2 linked regions of the Caenorhabditis elegans genome follow. The protein of the gene in region 2 purifies or fractionates together with the protein of the main gene of each other region. This does not show direct contact. Each region holds a gene or a part of one and is shown on either strand. Other genes may lie near its edges.

What was found.
Region 1: the proteins of sma-6 (region 2) and dbl-1 purify together in Caenorhabditis elegans (affinity purification with western blotting, with the first as the bait; one study listed by BioGRID). This does not show direct contact.

Annotation. Positions count from the first base shown.
Region 1 is NC_003283.11:6,756,253-6,760,997, reverse strand, and holds dbl-1 (Protein dbl-1), read right to left. Parts: upstream 2,864-4,745; 5' UTR 2,714-2,863; coding exon 2,426-2,713; intron 2,376-2,425; coding exon 2,277-2,375; intron 2,188-2,276; coding exon 2,116-2,187; intron 2,068-2,115; coding exon 1,777-2,067; intron 1,728-1,776; coding exon 1,622-1,727; intron 1,544-1,621; coding exon 1,428-1,543; intron 1,237-1,427; coding exon 1,166-1,236; intron 1,114-1,165; coding exon 1,059-1,113; 3' UTR 580-1,058; downstream 1-579. Other genes in the region: T25F10.4 (Neur_chan_LBD domain-containing protein), read left to right, coding at 1-14, 56-131, 346-416, 460-556. UniProt on the Caenorhabditis elegans protein: Ligand for the serine/threonine-protein kinase receptor type-1 sma-6 which activates a TGF-beta-like signaling pathway. Multifunctional protein that is involved in body size, male ectodermal patterning, innate immunity, lipid metabolism and neural plasticity.
Region 2 is NC_003280.10:6,322,515-6,327,895, reverse strand, and holds sma-6 (Serine/threonine-protein kinase receptor sma-6), read right to left. Parts: upstream 3,413-5,381; 5' UTR 3,408-3,412; coding exon 3,268-3,407; intron 3,221-3,267; coding exon 3,070-3,220; intron 2,852-3,069; coding exon 2,762-2,851; intron 2,717-2,761; coding exon 2,605-2,716; intron 2,561-2,604; coding exon 2,405-2,560; intron 2,363-2,404; coding exon 2,269-2,362; intron 2,180-2,268; coding exon 2,099-2,179; intron 2,054-2,098; coding exon 1,917-2,053; intron 1,870-1,916; coding exon 1,566-1,869; intron 1,490-1,565; coding exon 1,318-1,489; intron 1,275-1,317; coding exon 876-1,274; intron 831-875; coding exon 756-830; 3' UTR 541-755; downstream 1-540. Other genes in the region: C32D5.4 (uncharacterized protein), read left to right, coding at 4,817-5,348.

The sequences.
Region 1 (4,745 bases), on a different chromosome or scaffold from region 2:
ACAGAGAGATCAAAGTAAGAAATTTTTGAAGATTTCTAGAAAGTCACAATTTCAGATGTAATGCTGCATTGGATTCTGCAAGAGCCGAGTCTATGCGAAGTCCGAGAATTGCAAACTTTGATATGTGCTTGGTGAGTTGTTGTTTGCTCTATTAAAGAATTGTAAACGATAATCATTTTTCATTTATTTTTCATTAGTTTGCATTTATAAGTTTCTTGATATCTACAAAATGAACCGAGATTTAACGTTTTAAAGTAAAGTTGTGGCGTGCCATACTAAAAAAGAAAATACTGTGATCATGATAGTGTTTCTTTTGAAATGACAATTCTCTTGGTATTTTTTCAGGCTGAAGTAAAATTTACAATGTCTACATTCAATGAAGTTCTGAATTTGCATTCTTCTGCAGAATGGAGACGGTGGGTATTCGAAGTAACTGTTTTTTTTAATTTTAATTTTCAGAAAGCTGTGGCTAAACGCCTACCGTCGGTTTGAAATTCTTGCGTTCATAGTTCTCCAAATAATTAATTTTGTACTATTTTCAACTTTCTACCAATAAAAAATTAAGTAAAATATTAAAATCAAATACCAAAATGTTCATTTAAAAAAGAAACAAAAAAGGATCAGTGCATACAGACACAAAAACTATGAGATCAAATATTTTGAATTTGTTTTGTTGTTTTGAACATTCAATTCTAATCGAGTGAAAAATGATGAGAGTGAGAAGAAAAAGAGAGATAGATTTTTTGGAAGAAGAGAATTAGAGAAAACAAGAAAAGAAACTGTCCGTCTTCATAAGAGCTCTTGGTTTGGAAAAAATAGGAGAAAAGGAACATTAGGAAGGAATCACAGAAACATGGACAAACATCGGGGAAGAAAAGGAAAATGTGAATCGAAGACAAGAATAACAAGAGGAAAAACGGTTGAAGGTGAGAAATGAGGACCCGTGACACATTGCACCAAAAAATAAGGAGTTAGTAAAGAAAATGAATGGTAGGGAAAAACAAGGAGATGACAAAAAGTGGTAATGTGCGACGACGATGGCGACATAGAAGCGGGTATCACCGGCACCCGCAAGATTCAACCCGCATGTCGGCATACTCTCTTATCACTATTCTAAAAAATAGATCTTGAAGTAATAAGACATGAAGTGTTTCGATTAACTTACACTTTATCTACATCCATGTAGAGAATCGAAAGAGGGCTCGTTTCAGTAGGCACACAGCAAGGTGGCGGTACCTGAAAAATATTTTAGGGTGAGGAATAAGTTTTGTCGTTTCTTTTCTAGTTTTCTACATGACCTCAAAATAAGTTGTTAGGCATGAACAAATTGAAAAACTCAAACCTATTTTTGTCTCATATTTTTTTCGAACAAGAAAAAATATATGAATAACATCATCTAAATCAATAAAAACCTTCTAAAAACTCACTTCATCAGGTCTCAAAGAGTGTAAAAGTGATTGAATAATAGCGTGATTAGTTGCATTTAACTGAGCTGGCATTGGATTTGGACAAGAGCCTTGACATTGATAAGCATCGTAGCCCTCTGAAATTTGATACGATTTCTCAATTTTTCTTCTAATTATCTTTAATTCTACTTTAAAACAACAATTAAAATACTCACTGGGTGCCATAATCCAGTCTTGCCAATTTAAATCATCAAAATCCACGTAGAAATCAGTCCTCCGACAAAGATTGCTCTCGGCCTCGGTGTTATGATGCTTTCTACCCTACAATAGAATTGATTAACAATTTTTCTACTTTTAAGAAATCACAAACCTTTTTTCGATTTTTTCGTTCGCTGTTGCCTGTTTGTGCACTCCGTTTCCGCCGCACACTGGACGGTTCGGACAGGTCACTGAACACAATAAGCGGAGCACTCTGAGCCCGCGCGTAGGGCAATGAGCTCAGTGAGCTGCTCTGTGTCTCTTCGATCTCCACATCTTCCGGCAAATCGATGAAGAAACTGATACGATTTGTTCGCCGCAAAAAAGCGGCGGTCACATCAAAATCGATCCATTCGGTAAGGTTGTCGACGGATCGAGATTCGATTTGAAATCGATCATTGTTCTGTAGTTTCATATTGTGAGAAAAAAAAATGCTAAATGATTTACATACTATATCATCTTCAAAAAAATAAATACTAATATTGCCGGACCTCCTCGCTTTGTTGTTGCGTCGTAACCGGAGCTGAAAGTGGCAAGTTACAGATGGAAGGTGTTCAAATGAGCATAAGAATAACATTTTCGAAAAAAAAAACAGAATTGAGAAAAACTCACTTTCAAAGTAGCCTTAGTCACTTCTTCATTGTGAGCATTTCGAGCAGCCAATGAGAGGTTATAAGACAACAAGAACCCTTCGTTATCTTCAATAATCTCCTGAAATTTAAGTCTTGGTATTTGGGTATAAGCTAAATCTAAAATCTCACCTTCGGATAATAGTGTCTGACCCAGTCGACATCATTATCATCGTCATAAATATCCCACATGTGTTGTGGAACATCAATGCTCGGACCAGTCTGCACAGGTACGTGCTCGAGTCCCAACTTCCGAAGCAAACCGCGTCGGGTAGCGTGGGACGCGTGTTGATCGGCAGCAGCAGACATTGGTGTGAAGGAGATGAGGAGGAAGAGGTGGAGAATGGCGGACAGTTGGAAGCTGTGAACAAGGGATTTTGTGCTTGAAATCGTTGTAGTTGTCCGCACAGAGTCGTTCATAGTTGAGTTGGGCGCATCAGGCAGCCACTGGACATATCGTAGGGAATGTGGAAACAGATTGGACAAAAAGGGAAACGGGACAGGACAAGGACTTCTATTTGCGGGGGGCTCGCCGATGACGACTCTCCTCTTGTTTAGCGCATAATCAGGCTGAAAAGTCGGACTATTTTTTTTTAAAGATACAATGATTTGAGATACAATGACAGAGAGTAATAGAACCCAAAGAAAACATTATAATTCTGTAAATTATAAAATAAATTTGTAGAAAATTTAAAAGAAAAATGTTCCAGATGTTTTTAAAGATTTTCCGTGTAAAAAAAAAGGATGCAAGTGTAATAGAGAAAGACGGTATCACATTTTTTAAAAATAATTATTGAATGTCCTCTAATAGACAGTTTTTTTTTCAAAGTTTCAAAGTATTTTTTAAACTCATTAAAAAATGCCACTAATTTCTACTACGAATCAAGCTACAATTAAGGAATGGTTGAAACTTGAAATGTTACAATCCTAGAACTTTGGTATATTTTTAAACTTTAGAAACATAATGCAATAAACAATGAATTCTAGCTGTACTTGGATCTAGTCAAGCAACCAGTATGAAAATAAGATTAAAATTGTTTCCAAGAACTGCGTTCAGACATCTAGACTTGTTTTGCAGACTGATGAAAGGACGAGAAGAACAAAAAAGTTCATAAATCCAAAAATGCAAAAGACGGGTTTTCGAAATGCCTCTTGTCAACTTACTACCACTGTTGCTTAAAAAAGCTCAAAAAATGACATATAAATGTGACGTTGAGGGGGAGGAGAGGAACACCCACCAGATTCATCGAGTGGGTGTGAAAAACAATAGCTCCACTTTCAGAAAAAGAGGAAGAAAAATGCAACATAATGTAAAGGATTGAGAAGAATGAAATGAGAGAATCGAATTTCAATGTATAGACACAGTTGGTGAAACTAAAGATGGAAATCAATTGAAAATTGGCAGCGATTTAGAGCCTGAGCAGAACCGTTGGCATATTGTAGACGCCATCTATTTTGGGAACATTCTTCTCATATTTTCGACACATATACACAAATCGCAACAATTCGGCACAGAGGGGGAGGCTGCGGGCGGTGCGCTCAAAAAAAGAAGGCGTTTTTGGTTATGATAAGTTTTGCGCTGCTGCTGCTGCTCAACCCGAGTAAAAAAGTTCCAGAGCACTAATGATGAATTGATCCCGAGGGATTGTGCAAGGTTGCCCCCTTTAACACTCGTCGGCACCGAGCTTGGGAAAGCTTTGAGTTGCAGATTTTGGTTGGTAAACATTTGCAAGAAGACCCCAAAGACGGACATTACAGAAAAAAGTGAGATGAGGGAAGTGAGCGTGAGAAAACTGGAAGGTCTGCAAGATTTGGCAAACAGTATGGTAATCAAGGAGGCTACTGGGAATTATAGAAACGTAAATGTTTGTAATTCAATTTCGCTCATTTCAATTTTCCAATTAATTTGCAAAATTTCACGACAAAAAAATTGTCTGAGTTCATAAAAATGATAGGAAATCTACAGCATTTCCAAATTTGTTTTCTAAACCAGGTTAGCAAGTATTGTAGGATTCAGGTTGCTAAAAACCGTTATCCGATTCCAGGGTAATAAAAAAGACATTTTAAAAGTCTACAAAAATTAACATGCTCATCAACGTTGAGGGGTGTTACCTAAATTTTTCTGAAGCTCTGAGTTCTGAAACTTTGATATAATTTAAACTCAGTTTTAGGTCTTGACAGCATCTAAGAAAAATCTAAGAAAAAATGTTATCAAAAATTCCAGGAAAATTATCTGTATTCAAAAAAAATTTTATACAGATTTCTTGCAAAAGTTCCAGCAACTACTGACAATATTTTTTGGGGAGCGGAACACTCGTTCTCAATATGAGAAAAATACAAAAAAAAACTAGGAACGGAATGTGTGACGAGTAAAAGAAGAATGAAAAAATGAGAAGCCTACATCACATGAGAGCCGACCGGTTGGTCTTCACGGACAGCAAGAAGTTGCTCG
Region 2 (5,381 bases):
AAAATAAATCCAGACAGATGGACATTTTGCCGTAACTTGCAGTGCAGAAATTTCTTGAAATATTTGATATCCTTAAAAATTTTCTAGTCGAGATTTGTCAAAATTAAAATATCATGAATCCACTTTTAACTTTACAAAAGGATGATCTTCTAAAATATGTGATAAACGAAATAAATTGTGAAAATGATATCAGATGTGCTTTGTGTTTTAACGAATTAATGTTTCATTGTTCCAACTGATGCAACTTGCAGTTGTCTCCCTTTTGTTTCACCCAAAAGAGTTGTCTAACGGTGCAGTATTATCTTATCAAACCACGTACAAGTATGCCTATATTTGCTCACAAATGCAGTGCACACCAATCCAGATAGATTCAGATAGAGAGATAATAAACGTACATTTAAACATGGTTGAGCTGATAATTTTGTTTGCTCCGTCTTCTGCCACAGGGAGCGCAAGTTAAGAATTTGTCTTATCGGCAATCTATCAAGGAAATATTAGGCAATGATGGACAATAATGTCGCATAATTACAACACGAACGTACAGGTCTGGAACAATGTTTATTCACAAAAATTGCAGTAAATCGAGATGAGAACAAGTTCATAAGAGTTGCACAATTAAAAAATTGATGGGAAATTATTAGAGAGATCGCTTTAAATTTTGACCGTTGTGGAAATATGAACAAAACTGAAAAAGTAAAATTGATTTTAAAGAAGCCAAAAATTTTGGTACAACGAAAGTAAGATCAGAAAGTGGGTTAAGATTGATTGGTGGCTGACTCAACAAGGCCACTGTCTTGCTGTTGGAATTCAACTTTACGCTGCGATTGATTCTGAAAACATAGAGTTAGATATAGCTCCTTAACGTGTTGAATTACCTGTCTGTCGGGGTTTTTGATCAACTCAGCCATTTCTTTTTTCAATTTAAGAGCAGAATGTCGGAAGTGTGGAATTGAATGCCAACTGTCTTCCATCAACTTGCTCAATTCATTAAGTGCTGGGACGTTTTTCCAGGCAAGATCCGGTGGTGGACGTATTCGACGTACACAAATTACATCGTTCATCTCGTCAAAATTGGGATCATTGTGCACGATTCCATCGAATGGTGGGACATGTTGTTTTGCTTTCAGAGATGTAGAATGTCCTTCTACATTTGTTTTTTGTAGATGCATTCTCGATATATTACCAGATGAACTAACTGACTCTCCGATACCACTTGATGCACTGTGATCAGGAGAGGTCTCATCGACAGTTAACACTTCCTCACAGGTGTTTACCTACAATCATGGCCTTTATTTTAAACTCATTGAATAATCATACCTCAACCCTGATTGCAACTTCCCACATAACAAGTGCCATTGAGTAGATATCTGCCATCTTGAACTGAGAAAAATCTTTTGGATTCAACTTGTTTGATATCAGTTCTGGAGCCATATATCGTTTTGTTCCAACTTGAACATTGAATTTTTCAGGGAGAATTTTGTCGTTTTGACTGAAAACATTATTCTTTCTAAATTTCAGAACAACTAAATCTTTGGTTTTCAGATGCATCATTTGAAATAACTCACTATCGTAGTGCCAAACCCAAATCAGCGATACAACACACATTTGGTCGTTTGACTATAATATTCTTTGATTTAATATCTCGATGTGCAATTTCAGGTTTTCTAAAGCTTCCAGTTCCGTGTACAGCTGCATGTAGATGTTCAATACCACATATACAACTGTGAATAAGTCGAAGAGCTTCATCTGTTGTCAATGTTTCTTCACGGCAAAGATAATCTGATAAAGATCCCAGTTCATGATAATCAGTGATAAGAAGCATCTTTGTCATTGAATCTTCCTCACTCCAAATATCAGCCGCCACGAATTCTGAAACAATTCTTGAAATTCAAAGTAATTTTACTGAAATAGCTTACGAAGGATATTTTCATGATTGATCATGTTAGTTTGATATACATCTCTTTCATTTTTCCATGAATCTTCATCAGTTGTGTAGAATGTTTTTACAGCCACGTAACTTCCACGATACAGAGCTTTGCGAACTTCTCCATATCTAAAAAATATAGGCAACAAAGATTAAAATAAGAATTAATTTTACCTTCCCTGTCCAATTGTTTTAATAATTGTTAAATCTTGTCTCACTGTCCTTTGGATCAACGCAGCCTGCCCAGAACCACTTCTGAAAATTGTATTTGTTAAAAACATCACTTTCAAAATAATGGGTATGATATCTCTATATCGCAAATACTCTAGGAAATAAAAACGAACCCTGAGTCTTCGAGCATTGATTTGCTCTCCATGTATGTTGATTCTGTTTTCAGAGACACCGTCTTGGCTCTGGCTCTGGCTTTAGATTTTTCTTCTGAAACAAAATATCAATTTAGTAATTTAAAAACTGTCTCACCTGCTCTTGTAATACATAAATAAATACATCCAATGACTGCAAAAACCGACATGACTGTTGCAAATACCATTATGAACATTTTTCCTCCACGTGTCATGTTTTCCAGTGGAGAATCATAGTCTTCTGGATTGTCAGTTTTCTCTTGAAGTGCTTTCTCTGAATAGTCCCTGTTAAAAAATTTAAATTAAAAAAAAACTCACCCTTGTGATGATGAACATATGCCGGCGGAATCAAATTCTTATTGCAATAGTTACCTTCATAGCAACAACCAATACTTTTAGGAGAATGGTGAGCTGCTCTCCAAGAATTACACTGAAAAACACCTGGTGAAATATTTCAAAAAACTCGATGAAACACCGTCAAATGTGAAGCTCCACTTCCTCTTTCCAGTGTTGCACATCCCCATTTATGAAGAGTTTCCATTCGTTTTTCAGCTTTGTTATAAACCTAAAATTTATTTTTATAATTTTGAAAATAATCATAATTGCAATAACATCGATTTTTCAAAAAAAAAAAATTATTATAATTTGTCAGTTTCAAGAAATGAGAAAAATCCATTCATTAAAAAACTGGTAACGCCTAGATCATATGTTGCTAACCTCCATGGTGTAAAAATATTCCAAAAAATAAAACGGAAACTTTCAAGAGCTACAAGTTAATTTTACCTCTTCAACGGCATGATAACAAGCAGCTCCATCTTGTTTCACACATGTCATATTATTTCCACATATCGACTGATCATAATTGCAATAACATCGATTTTTCAAAATATCATTGGGTCTGTTCCGAAGCTTCATCTCTTTTAAAACTTGTTGCCTGATAAGAAAAACTGAATTTTTGATAAAATATAAAAACTCATGTACCTGAACTCCTTTGGAACTCCTATTGCATTTTTTGGAATGCTCAACGCTAAGTCTTCATCGTCAAAGTGATCATAGTCTTTTGAGCATTTTTGAGTATTGAAAAATCCGAAAATGAGAATAAATATAAAGGTGATGTTCATTAAATCTGAAATTTGCAAATAAATTGATTAAAATATATTGTTAATGAAGTCAGTTGCGAAAAACATGAAAATAGAACGAGTAAAGACAGAGGTAGAGATGAAAAGACTGTTTGCCGAGTTTCCTCTCCGTTTCGTACAATATTTCAATCTACGGCCTCTTCTATCAGTACACTATCTCTCTTAACTATCTCATCATTCACTTAATGTTCTTTTTGACAACTTGTCCGCCTAATGATACTAATGATCTGAACGGAAAAGTTGCGCCAAAATGGATATATGTATGACCGGAGAATAGGTAGAAGTGCGGCGCCTTTCTGTCGCGCCACCCCATAAAATGACGGGGTCATTAAATGGCGTGGCGCCATTTTTCTGAGAAAAATAGATGGATTAGATTTATGTAAAAGAGGGTTGCACCAGGTGTTTCTTTTTTTCAATATCTATTCATTGTTTCTATCGTTTGAAGTTTAGCGATTTTTGGGCACCGGATGAATACAAGATTCGGAAGGGCACGACAAATTTTTATAGTACTACAATTAAAATCGTCAGTAAGAAAATATCATGAAACCATGCTTATAGTGCAAAAATGTCCCAATACCATAGTAACACCAAAAAAAACTGAAATTTTTTATGTATAGTCACAAATTAGTGAAGAACTAGAAGTCGGCAAAAAAAAATCTACGAGTTTTATTTTTTTGTATTCAAATGTTGTAGGGGTTTACCGTTTGAAATTTCTTAAAAATTTACTTTTTTGGAAAATTTGGCAAACACAGGGGAAAATAATCATAATAGGGAAAGTAACAAAATAACAAGTTACAATATTGCTTCGCCTATCATAATTTTGAAAGTCGACCAATAATCCTACTTTTGATCAAAGAAGAGCTCAAAAATTTGCAAGAATTCCGAAGTATTTAAAAATTTGGAAATTTGCCAAAACTGAAAATATTGAAAAATCTGAAACAAGCTTTGAGTTTTGGTCATTCAAAAATGATATTTATTTGACAATGAAAATCTGATTCTACATTTCCTTCTTTGTTGTTCCCAACTTATAAAATATTAATAGTTTACTGGGGACTCGACAAATATTATTTTTTAAAGAGTTCTGAGCACTTATCGGAAATATCAATTTTGTAATAGTATGATACGTTTTGAGGGCACTTTAGTTTATTCACAATACTGGGCTTCTAGAAATTTTAGAAAAAATGAAACTAATGTTTTGAATACTTAAGTTAATTACCAGTGCCAGTGTTTTAGAATAAAAAAACACTTTATAGGATTCTATGAGTTTTTGGAAAGTTCAGTCCCGGCAAAGGTTGCCGAAAGCTTCAAAAAGCGAAAGTATAAAAAGTTCTGAAACTACAGCTTAACACAATGAAGCTTAAAAGTTCTCACATTATGAATATAAACATGTAATGTACTGGAACAAGAATATAAAATTGAAGTCCAAAAAAGACGACAAAATAATGAAATCTCCAAGGCAACAAGAATGGGAAAAGATTCATGATGTATATTTTTTCCTGACAATAAATAATACGCAAGGGAATTGTTTTGAAACTAATATTATTTTTACTGCCACACTATTTCATTCCGTGACATTCCAACTAAGAACTTCAAAACGAAAAAATATTGACGATTGGAAAAAAATAAATCAGTTTTTGATTATTTCGTTTTCATCAAAAATTAACATCGTACGCAGTATGTTAAAATGCAAAGAAGACGATTTCGAAGTGATGACTACACCGCCGGAAGAAGCCGAAATGCGAGAAAATCCGAATGAAATGAAACGTCTCTTGACGCACATGTCCACAACCAATACACCATTTGTTGTGCACGATCGGACTGGTCTCAGACTCTCATTTGCTGGCCTTTTGCCCATCACAACTGGTGACAATGGAGAACAACGCATCTGGTCATCAAGTATCATTTTGAATAGTGCAGAACTTGGTGAGTTGACGTCGAATGAATTGGTTCTTGGGA